Linked DNA regions of Oryctolagus cuniculus. The main gene of each other region encodes a partner of the protein of the gene in region 3 in a complex. Links are inferred from orthologs where the notes say so. Each region holds a gene or a part of one and is shown on either strand. Other genes may lie near its edges.

What was found. The genes of interacting proteins can lie anywhere in the genome.
Region 1: the proteins of ECSIT (region 3) and ACAD9 are in contact, whole or in part, in a cryo-EM structure (PDB 8PHE), measured with the Homo sapiens proteins. The link is inferred for Oryctolagus cuniculus from reciprocal best matches to the Homo sapiens genes ECSIT and ACAD9. Residues at the interface, in NP_057665.2 of Homo sapiens: Pro321, Glu322, Glu323, Trp324, Asn325, Leu326, Tyr327, Tyr328, Pro329, Met330, Leu332, Asp333, Leu334; in NP_054768.2 of Homo sapiens: Leu180, Thr181, Asp188, Ala189, Ala190, Ser191, Ile192, Lys228, Lys239, Asp240, Lys241, Ile242, Phe293, Ala296, Met297, Leu300, Ile431, Met434, Tyr435, Leu438, Thr439, Leu441, Gln442, Gly445, Thr449, Leu516, Gly520, Lys521, Ile523, Met524.
Region 2: ECSIT (region 3) and TMEM126B share a complex: the UniProt entries of both Homo sapiens proteins name them as parts of the mitochondrial complex. The link is inferred for Oryctolagus cuniculus from reciprocal best matches to the Homo sapiens genes ECSIT and TMEM126B.

The regions. Positions count from the first base shown.
Region 1 is NC_091441.1:111,772,622-111,776,265, reverse strand, and holds part of ACAD9 (complex I assembly factor ACAD9, mitochondrial), read left to right. Parts: intron 1-260; coding exon 261-336; intron 337-1,522; coding exon 1,523-1,593; intron 1,594-2,225; coding exon 2,226-2,345; intron 2,346-3,510; coding exon 3,511-3,639; intron 3,640-3,644. UniProt on the Homo sapiens protein: As part of the MCIA complex, primarily participates in the assembly of the mitochondrial complex I and therefore plays a role in oxidative phosphorylation.
Region 2 is NC_091432.1:76,714,088-76,717,057, reverse strand, and holds the end of TMEM126B (complex I assembly factor TMEM126B, mitochondrial), read right to left. Parts: intron 1,313-2,970; coding exon 1,201-1,312; intron 980-1,200; coding exon 796-979; 3' UTR 633-795; downstream 1-632. UniProt on the Homo sapiens protein: As part of the MCIA complex, involved in the assembly of the mitochondrial complex I. Participates in constructing the membrane arm of complex I.
Region 3 is NC_091447.1:66,359,707-66,364,141, reverse strand, and holds the start of ECSIT (evolutionarily conserved signaling intermediate in Toll pathway, mitochondrial), read right to left. Parts: upstream 2,917-4,435; 5' UTR 2,808-2,916; intron 2,609-2,807; exon of another isoform or gene 2,432-2,608; intron 1-2,431.

The sequences.
Region 1 (3,644 bases), on a different chromosome or scaffold from region 3:
GAGGGGCCCAAGTACCTGGGCTGTCTTCTGCTGCTTTTCCAGGCACATTAGCAGGGAGTTGGGTTGAAAGTGGAATAATCAGAACTCGAATCAGCACCCTTGTAAGATGCCAGCATTGCAAGCAATGGCTTAACCTGTTGTTCTGCACCACCCCTTGTCTGATTATTTCTTGAGTTTAAATACCACCAGGGGAATTACTGGGGCATGGGTCTGTGACCTTTGTCTTCTTAAGTGCCCTTGAGCTTTCTGGATCTCTGCAGGTGGCCATGAACATCCTCAACAGCGGGCGGTTCAGCATGGGCAGCACAGTGGCCGGGATGCTCAAGAGGTTGATTGGTAGGTAAGTGGGGGCCAGGGGCCCTCTGCTGCCCCACTGCAGCCTGGGAGACGGCCATCCCCTCCCTACTGTGCCCCCGGGGGATTGGTGTCTCCTCTGGGAAGCTTTGATGCCCAGCACCCCTTCCCCTTTGGGTGGCTGAGCTGGGCCACCTGGCTGGGTGGTCAGCACTGGTGGAGCATCTGATCCGTGGTTCAGAGCAAAGAAGGTCCTCCCCAGGGCTTGTATCTCAGCGTTCCTGTTTCTCCTGCACACAAAGGGCAGGGGCGAGGGAGGACGTCCTGGCAGGGGCAGGGAGGGGCTGCTGCTGTGACCCTCCCAGGTTCCCGTCCCAGAGGTGACTGGCCTGGGATCCTCCCCTGTCCCTCAGCTTGGATCTCCCTTTGTTCTTTGCTATCAGCACATGGAAAACCTACATTTTCGTTTGCCCATGAACTTAAAACAGCCCATCACCATTCTCATGGGATTGACTGCACGGAGCAGGTTGCTTAGGAACTGCGTGTTCCTTAGTGCACCGTACCTCTCGGTCAGGACAAGATGGACGCACACAGGCTTAGTCTGGGGTTTTCCTGCATGAGGCCTCTGCTTCCCCATCTGATAGACCCCTTAGTGTCCGAGTTGGGGCTTTCATGGTCAGCGTGTTCTCCAAAGGAGGCAGAACCTCTGAGGAATTCCCACAGCCCAGAAGCGTGCTGATGCAGGGACTCATGCTGAGACCTCTGGGAGACTGGATCACGCCTGTGGGAGCATTTGGCAGCAGCGGGGGGGGTTGCAGAGCTCAACTATATGCCTTCAAGCCCAGGCCCTCCTGCCGTGCACGTGAGTACCCGTGCCACGCCTGGGCCACTCCACCTCTGTGTGGCACTGTTGGCCCTAACTTTGTGCGAGGCATCCCTCACCTTCCATCTGGTTTCATCTTGGCAGCAACTCAGTAAGCCGGGCAGTGTTCAGGGAGATGAGCGTTTCGGCCGCCTCCTGCCTGCTGAGGATGGTGCAGGATTCTAACCCAGGTCCCTGACCACGGCCTACTGTAAGAGGGCTCTAGTTGTTGGGGTATTGGTCTCAGCAGACACCTGTCTCCCAGTTGCTGCCTGAGTGTCAGAAGGGTAATGGTGATAGCCTATGAGACCATGCTGGCCAACCAGAGATATTCTGGTTCTTTGTAACAACTCTGCTCTTCTGCAGAAATGACCGCTGAATATGCCTGCACGAGGAAGCAGTTCAACAAGAATCTCAGTGAATTCGGATTAATTCAGGTACTCATGCTCACGAGTGCTGTGCTTCTTGACTTCACTTTGTAGACACGCAAAGTGTGCTGTCTGCCCTCCCTGCACCTGTGACTCCCATGCGGGGCGTGCAAAGATGGCTGAATAAGGTTTGATGATGAGGTCCCTTCCTTTTATTTAAGCATGGGTGTAGTTCACTCTCCCCCACCCCTTCTTGCTCTGTGGTTGTTTTTTTTTTTTTGGAAAGAGTTATGGAGAGAGAGGGAGAGACAGAGAGAGAGGAGAGAGAGAGACCTTTCATCCAATGGTTCACTACCTGAATGGTCCTGGCTGAGCCAGGCTGAAGCTGAGAGCCTAGAACTCCATCTGGGTCTCCCATGTGGGTTCAGGTGCCCAAGCACTAGAGCCACTTTCTGCTGCATTTCCAAGTACATCAGTAAGGGGCTGCATATGAAATGGAGCAGCCAGGATATGACCCTGCTCGCATAAGGGACACTGACATTGTAGGTGGCGTCTTAACCCACACCACAGCGCCAGCCTGGGGCACGGCTCTCCTGAGCGGTGAGCCCTCTGACGTAAAGGCCTGCTCGGCTGATAGGCAGATTGGATCTCAGCTAAGCAGATGACTTGATGGGTGTGTGTGTGTGTGTTTAATCCTCCAGGAAAAGTTTGCACTGATGGCTCAGAAGGCCTACGTGATGGAAAGTATGTCCTACCTCACCGCGGGGATGCTGGACCAGCCCGGCTTCCCCGACTGCTCCATCGAGGCCGCCATGGTGAAGGTAATCCCGGCGTGAGAGCCCGGGAGCCGGTGCAGGAGGGACTCAGAAAGGCTCCGTCGCCTTGGCCTCCAACCGCGGGGCTGCCTCCTGCCTCCCTCCCGCCTCCCTCCTCTTGTCGGTTCACGGGCCAGCTCCCAGCGGGCTCGTGTTTACGACGCACCCCGGGGACCGCACCCCAGGGGTAGGCAGGCCCTGGGGTCGCGCAGGGGAGAAGCAGCAAAGCACAGGCCCGGCCGTGCGTCGGTTTGCAGGCAGCACGGTGCTCCCCAGGGCGGCGCGGGGCAGCTTTTCCAGAGGTCAGTGCTCAGCAGCAAGAGGAGACGTAGCCAGCCATTGCTGGGACGTCACAGCAGGGCGTGGGGCAGCGGGCTCGCTGGGAGGGACCATCTGTTCCCCCTACTTCCTGGTCCTGGGCTTCCTCGTGTGGGGTATTTGCAGTGGGAGATCCTGGGGCTTTCTGTTGGTGTTCGTAGGCAGGGCTCAGTGTCAGGTGGAATAAGTAAGATGGCTGCCCCACTTGGTTGCCCTGAATCATTCCCGCACTGGGCTCCGACTTGGGCTTGAGAGACTGGGTGGGAGACGCCCAGTGCAGGGCTCGCCCGGGCGGGGCAGGGCCTTCTCCCTGGAGGTCACACGGTTCCTGGCGCTCAGTGAGTCCCCTGTGGGTGAGTCTGTGTGTTGGTTGTGCCTCAGCCATCACCAGCGCCCACCCACGGAGGCTGTGCCTCTTCTGGGTGCCAAGCCTGGAGCTGAATCCGGCAGTGTCTCCTCCCCCAGTCGCTCGCGGTGTGGAGGGACAGAAACAGGGCCTGGCTGCCGGTGCGAGTGCAGAGGACGAGTCCCGGGTGGTGGGGCTGGTGCGGCTGGGCTTGCTGCACGAGGTGGAACCTTTCTTCAGTGGGAACTGAAAAACAGGAGCTGACGCAGGCATGGAGGCGGGCCCAGAGGTGTGGAAGGCCAGGGCAGGGATGGGCACCGCAGGCCGGTGGTGGGGTTGAGGAAGGCTGAGGACTTCCGGTCATGCAGCCAGTTCCTCCCTGGGTCAGTGTCATCCCAAAGCCCAGTCCGTCTCAGCCACCGCGCTGCTCCTGGTGCCTTGGCCGCTCTGCTGGGAAGGGATTGGGCCCCGGTGCCCCTGTGCTGACCTCTCCCTGGGTCCCTGCAGGTGTTCAGCTCAGAGGCCGCCTGGCAGTGCATCAGCGAGGCCCTGCAGATCCTCGGGGGTTCGGGTTACATGAAGGACTACCCGTACGAGCGCATGCTGCGGGACTCCCGCATCCTGCTCATCTTTGAGGTGAG
Region 2 (2,970 bases), on a different chromosome or scaffold from region 3:
TCCTTGAGCTCCTGTAGCCAGGTGGGAGAACCAGAAGCAGCTCCTGGCTCTTAGCTCTGGATCAGCTCAGCTCCAGCTGTTGCAGCCATTTGGGAAGTGAACCATCAGATGGAAGACCATTCTCTGTTTCTACCTCTTTTTGTAACTCTTTCAAATAAATAAAATAGCCAGCTATAGAGTTACTGAATTTTGAGTCCTACTGATGGTTACCTTGGTAGGTCCAGGCCTATTGACTTTACAGGTGTTAAACAGCTCAAGGGCCAGATGTTCTCCAACCCTGGAGAGAAATGGGTTGTATGTTATTTCCATACCTTGCTTTCATATGAACTTCCAATTTCTCCTTCAGAATTTGGCTCAACTGGCACTTTCTCCCCATAACTTCCCTTTTTACTTAAGTGATAGTCACATTCTCAGTGCTCCCACAAATTATGTGTGTAGTTCATAAAACCTTTTATGTGTACCTGTTTATTTTTCTTATAATTGAGAGTTCCTTCTGGGTAAGGAATAGTTCTTATTAATAAGTGACACAGGGCCTGAGGAATTAATTTATAACTACATAGATCAGACCTGAGGCTCCAACTGCTTTGTGCATTTAATGAGGAAAGAAAGATGAAAATTATTATTTCACACTGTTTTACATTTACTGAATTACTGAATATTTATTAAGTATCTGCAATATAGCAGGCGAAACAGAGACAAGTTCTCTGTCCAGAGTGACTTTCAATTTTTTCCACAATATCCAAGTACTCATCATAAAAAAAAAACCATTTTGCTGAATCAGTACCCATTCTTTGATTAATCTTCATGTACCGTTTTTGCAAGTGTTTTTTCAAACAGTGAATAATGCTGTAAACCAATAAGTACTCCAAACATTGTCTGAAAGACTAGAGGAATCACCATTGCTTTTATCTCTGTTTGACAAAGCAGCATCCAATGGAGTAAAACCCTTCCTTTCGGTGGCAGTGGAACTGTATGATATCTGAAAAAGAAAAAGAGTTAATCACGTCTCCTGAATATATCTTCTATCAAGTTTACTGATTTCACCTAAACTGATAATTTCCACTACAGGTCTATAAGGTAGATAGCAAAAAAAAAAAAAAGAAAAAAAATGCAAGAAAGAAAAAAACCCCAAAATTAGTTATTTGGAACACGGAACTAATACATTTTGATAGAAAGAAGAAAAGGAACAAACAGACTTACCTGACTGCCAGGCGTCCATTTTTAGAAAAAGCCAAACTAGAGGGATATAAAATACCACATACTATGCCAACCAGTGAACTTCTAAGGACACAGTTTTCCTTGCTTATGTTACCTGAAAAACAAAAGTAAATTTGGTTTATCTTTAAAAAACTCAGGATAAGAACCTTGAAGATAGTGTGGTGACTCATAGAGAAGTTATGTACAATATTTTCAACCACAGTGAAACAGTACAGAGTATATTAGAAATTCAAAGTCTATGGCATGTAACCAGCTAAATGAATCACATTTTAAAAGTGCTTTTATTGTGCTTCATCATTTGGAGAATTACCCCTTACATTTATGGTTGTTGAAGAAGGATTTTCATAAGAATCTGAGTACTAAACTAGCAGACCAAATCCAAGTTAATACATTTATCGTCTCCTACATGAAAGGCACGTGCTAGGGATACCATGGTGCAAAGACAATCCAATTTCTTACCTCTGGCAGGTCTACCACAGAAGAAAGAATCAGACAGATATTTAAGTGCACACAAGGATTTTACAGTAAAGTGTTTAGAGAATGTATCTAGAAACCTAACTTACACTAAGGGAATCAGGGAAAGTTTCTCTGCAGAAGACATTTAAGCAGGGACCTGAAGAATGAACAGGGGCTAGAGGCTCCAGCAATTACTGTGAAACTTGTGACAGATACTATTTAACACAGATATCATTTAACATAGAATTTTTTTTTATTTTTTATTTTTTGACATGCAGAGTGCACAGTGAGAGAGAGAGAGACAGGGAGAAAGGTCTTCCTTTTTCCGTTGGTTCACCCCGCAATGGCCGCTGCGGCTGGTGTGCTGCCGCCTGCACACCGTGCTGATCCGAAGCCAGGAGCCGGGTGTTTTTCCTGGTCTCCCTTGCAGGTGCAGGGCCCAAGCGCTTGGGCCATCCTCCACTGCACTCCCGGGCCACAGCAGAGAGCTGGACTGGAAGAGGAGCAACCGGGACAGAATCCAGCGCCCCGACCGGGACTAGAACTCGGGGTGCCGGCGCCGCAGGCAGAGGATTAGCCTATTGAGCCGCGGTGCCAGCCAGAATATCTTTTTTTAAAGATTTATTTATTTATTTGAAAGTTGGAGTTAGAGAGAGAGGACAGGCAGAGAGGCAGAGAGAGAGAGAGAGAGAGAGAGAGTCTTCCATCCGCTGGTTCACTCCCCAATTGGTCACAATGGCTGGAGCTGTGCCTATCCAAAGCCAAGAGCCAGGAGCTGCCTCCAGGTCTCCCACGCAGGTGCAAGGGTCCAAGGACTTGAGCCATCTTCTACTGCTTTCCCAGGCCATAGCAGAGAGCTGGATCAGAAGTGGGACAGTGGGACTTGAACCAGCACCCATATGGGATGCCAGCACTGCAGGTGGCAGCTTTACCTGCTATGCCACAGCACCGGCCCCAGTACAGTATCTTTTAATTCTCACAGCAATTCTATGAGATAAGTACAATTAGGGTTAATTCAGAGGTAACACAACTAAGGTTCACAGATTAAATGACTTGCTCGATATCACAAAACTTATGTAGTAGGAAGTAGAATCTGAGGTCATATGTGTTTATTCTTTCTCCAGTAACACTTTTATTTTTTAGTGTCCTTGAACTTGCTTCAGTTTGACTGCCTATCTATAAAAAGGAGACAATACTACTTGCTCTGCTTGATCAGAACTGTCATGTGGATTACATAAAACAGTGTGGGGGCCGACACTGTGGGGAAGCAGGTAAAGCTGCTGCCTGCGGTGCTAG
Region 3 (4,435 bases):
TGTGTTTCCGTTTCGCTGACCTCAACTGGCTTCACTTTTAATTCTGAACTGGACACCACTTCATGCCATAGAAGAGAAACAAGTCTTCCCTAGTGGTTCTTAAAGTCTGCTCCCTTTAGACTCATTTTGGCAGCCCTGAAAAATCCCCAAACCCGGGCCACATCCAGATATGCAGACTGTCTGGAGGGGGGCCCAGGCATCAGGATTTTATTTTTTTAATTATGTACTTGAAAGGCAGAATGGGAGAGAGAGAGAGAGAGAGAGATCAATTGATCGTTCTTGCATCCACTGGTTCTCACTGCCCCAAATGCCTACAAAAGCCAGGAGCTCAGAACTGTGTCCGGGCCTCCGGCGTGGATCGCAGGGACTCAAGTACTTCAGTCCTTCTCTGCCCCCTCCCAGGATGTGCACAACCAGCAGGAAGCGGGACCAGAAGCAGAGCAGCCGGGACTGGAGCCAGGCACCCCCGTGTGGGACGCTGGCGCCCCCAAGGCAGCAGCTACACCTGCAGCACCATAGCTGCCCAGGCAGCAGCATTTAAAGCACCCTAATGGCCCTAATATGCAGCTGGGGTTGATGCCTGACTCCACAGCCTGGTAGGTAAGCCCTGGGTTGGGACACTGCCATCCCATAAGCCAGTGCGTGGGCTTGCGTCCCAGCTCTGCTCTGCTCCCAGCTTCCTGTTAAAACCCTGGGAGGCAGGGTTACCAGAAACACAAAATCCTGGCCCTGACCCAGCCACGTGGCGACAGCTCCCACACTGACCCGCCCCTCTGGCACGCACCCGGCCGTCTCACCCTCGAACTAGCTCCAAACGGACACGCCAGCGCGAACGTGTTCCTCTGGCTCCAAGCCAAGGGCACCACCACTGCCAGTGGCTCAGGGCACACGCCGAGGAGTCAGTTCAGAGTGCCCTGCCCCTGCCCACACAATCCATCGACCGACCTGGGTGACCAGCTGCAAAGGCACCCATTTCTCCCCCTCTACAATCTATGAGCTCCTGCCCTTATGAGCTTCTCGCCAGTTCTCCCCATGGAGGAGGCTTTTAAAAATATTCATTTTGGGGCCGGAACTGTGGCGTAGCAGCTCAAGCCGCTGCCTGCAGCACTGGCATCCCATGCGGTCACAGGTTCAAGTCCCGGCTGCTCCACTTCCCATCCAGTTCTCTGCTGTGGCCTGGGAAAGCAGTGGAAGATGGCCCAAGTCCTTGGGCCCCTGCACCTGCGTGGGAGACATGAAGAAGCTCCTGGCTTTGAATTGGCTCAGCTCCAGCTGCTGCGGACATGTGGGGAGTGAATCAGCAGATGGAGGACCTCTCTCTCTGTCTCTCTGTCTCTCTCGCTCTGCCTCTGCCTTTCAAATAAATCTTAAAACACACACACTCACACATTAGGGGCACTGTGGCACCGCAGGTTAAGCCAATGATGGGACAGCAGCATCTATCATCAAATTGCCAGCCTGAGTCCAGGCTAATCTGAACATCAGACCCAGCTCCCTGTTCATGCACCTGGGAGGCGCCAGCTGACAGCCCAAGTACTTGGTTCCTGCCACCCATGTGGGGAGTGACTGGTGGATGGAAGATTTTTCTCTCTCTCTGACACTCTGCCTTGCAAATTAAATCTTAAAAAACAAGACCAGCGCCGCGGCTCACTAGGCTAATCCTCCGCCTAGCGGCGCCGGCACACCGGGTTCTAGTCCCGGTTGGGGCGCCGGATTCTGTCCCGGTTGCCCCTCTTCCAGGCCAGCTCTCTGCTGTGGCCAGGGAGTGCAGTGGAGGATGGCCCAGGTGCTTGGGCCCTGCACCCCATGGGAGACCAGGAAAAGCACCTGGCTCCTGGCTCCTGCCACCGGATCAGCGCGGTGCGCCGGCCGCAGCGCGCCGGCCGCGGCGGCCATTGGAGGGTGAACCAACGGCAAAGGAAGACCTTTCTCTCTGTCTCTCTCTCTCACTGTCCACTCTGCCTGTCAAAAAAAAATAAAATAAAATAAAAAATAAAAAAAAACAAAAAAACAAACAAAAAACACCACCACCAACAACAAAAACAAAAACACCATACATTAGTATAAATTAGGGCCCAGCACTGTGGTGCAGTGGGTTAAAGCCCTGGCCTGCAGCGCCAGCATCCCATATGGGCCCCAGTTCGAGTCCCGGCTGCTCCACTTGCGATCCAGCTCTCTGCTGTGGCCTGGGAAAGCAGCGGAGGATGGCCCAAGTCCTTGGGCCTCTGCACCGGCGTGGGAGACCCGGGTGGAGCTCCAGGCTCCTGGATCCAGATCAGCCCAGCTCTGGCCGATGCAGCCAACTGGGGAGTGAACCAGCTGATGGAAGACCTCTCTCTGTTTCTCTGTAATTCTGCCTTTCAAATAAATAAATAAATAAATCTTAAAAAAAAAAAAAAAAAAAAAAAAGTGGAGCAGCCAGGACACACACCCGTGGCCACCTGGGATGGCGGAGTCCCAGGCCAGCTTTACCCGCATGCAGGCCCCCGGTACGTTGCTTCTGAACCAAGGCCAAGTGTCCTCCAGTCCCAGAGACTCCGCACTTGCTTCTCCCTCCTCCGGGGAGCCGCCTCTGGCCGTTCAGGTCTCTATGCAAACGAGAGGTCTTCTACAAAACGGGAGACTCGGACCGTCAGGCCGCGGGGCACCTCGCAGACAACCTTTCCCGTCAGGTCCCCGCCCCCCCCACCCCAAAAGGTCATGGCGCCCTGGCTCTATAGCGCCGACTCCTTCTGAGCTCGCCATCCCGCCCTGCCGGGCCCGAAGTGGAACTCCCTGGAACCCAGCAAATCCCACGCGCCACCTACCTACTCACGCTGTGGGACGCGAACGGCGACCCGGCTCCGTCTCGCCGCTGGGCGCCGCCATGTTGGCTAACAGAGCTTCCGGGTCACGGGGCCGCCTGGGAGACAGCAAATCACGAACGTGGGTTTCTGTAGGTCCCGCCCACATGTGGAGAAGCACCAATAGGAAGGAGAATCACCCGCTCCATGACGCGAGAGATCACGCCCCTAAGACGGTGAGAGGCTCCCGCGACCTGGGGACTCGGAAAGTCTGGGCGGCCCGGGAAAGAGTGACGTGAACGGTCACCGTAGGGGCAGTGATGCTGGCTGTGTGCTCCTCAGGGTCCGCCAGAGCAGGCCGTGCCCGCGAGGGTGTGTCTGTGAGACACACAGCGAGTGGGTTCCTTGGGTGTGCAGCCCCCCATCATGACCCCCGTGTCTCAGGTCATGATGGCACCGAGAGGGAGGAGCTGGATGCTCAGGTAGAGCAGGTGCCTCAGGTGTAATCGGGGGCCACGGCACGATGGCCACGGCTGTTCCTCCCTGTGGTTCTGAGTCCTGACTAATGGGCGCCTCAGCCTGCCTCTGTGTTCGGCAGCCTCGCCAGGTGCAGGGGGCGGGGCACTGGAAGGGGCGTGGCCTGACTTGTCCCGCCTCCTCTCTGCAATGCTCCACCCTGGGTCTGCGCTGCGCGGGGGCGGGCAGGGGACCCCTCTGGGCAGCTTCTCAGCGTGAGATTGGCCCAGCTCCGGAGCCCCGAGGCAGCCTAGGCAGAGGTAGATTCGAGGCTCTGCCGCACCACCCCCCTGGCTTGGTTAGAGCTACCCAGAGTGAGGACGGGCAGGCCCCCTGCCGCCTTCAGCTCACAGACTTGGGCTCATGCCTCTGGCTATCTGCCCTGTGGTAAGTGGACTGCAGCTGGACGAGGCCGCAGTCACATTCACTCGGTCCTCTGCCCGCTTCTTATTTTTGTTTTGCACAAAAAGAAATTATATATTTGTTTGAGAGAAATCCCACCCGTTGTGGGAAGCTGTTCATTTGTCTTTTTTATTTTTTTTCCTTGAAAGTCAGAGTTACAGAGAGAGAGAGAGAGAGAGAGAGGTCTTGCATCCACTGCTTCACTCCCCAAGTGGCCGTAACAGCTGGAGCTGAGCTGATCTGAAGCCAGGAGCCAGGAGCTTCTTCCAGGTCTCCCACGCTGGTGCGAGGGCCCAAGCACTGGGGCCATCCTCTACTGCTTTCCCAGGCCACAGCAGAGAGCTGGATCGGAAGAGGAGCAGCCGGGACTCGAACCAGAGCCTGCAAGGGATGCCAACACTGCAGGCGACAGCTTTACCCATTAAGCCACAGCGCCAGCCCCCTGATTTGTCTTCTATTCCTTATCCCAAGCATCAGAAACAGGGCCTGGAACCTTCTAGGCACCGAATAGTTGCTACTGCTACGACTACGACTAATAATAACAATAATAATAATAATAAAGGAATGGATGAGTTTCTGAGGCTTAGTCCATCTTTGAACACCTGTCCCTTCTTGCTTCTGCCTCTGTCTGTTCTTCTGGGATTATGAGCTAAGCCCATGGGCTGCCATCTGCATAGCTGTGTATCCGCCCAGCCAGCGGCTTCCCCTTTCTCTCTGCAGACTCAGAATTGGCT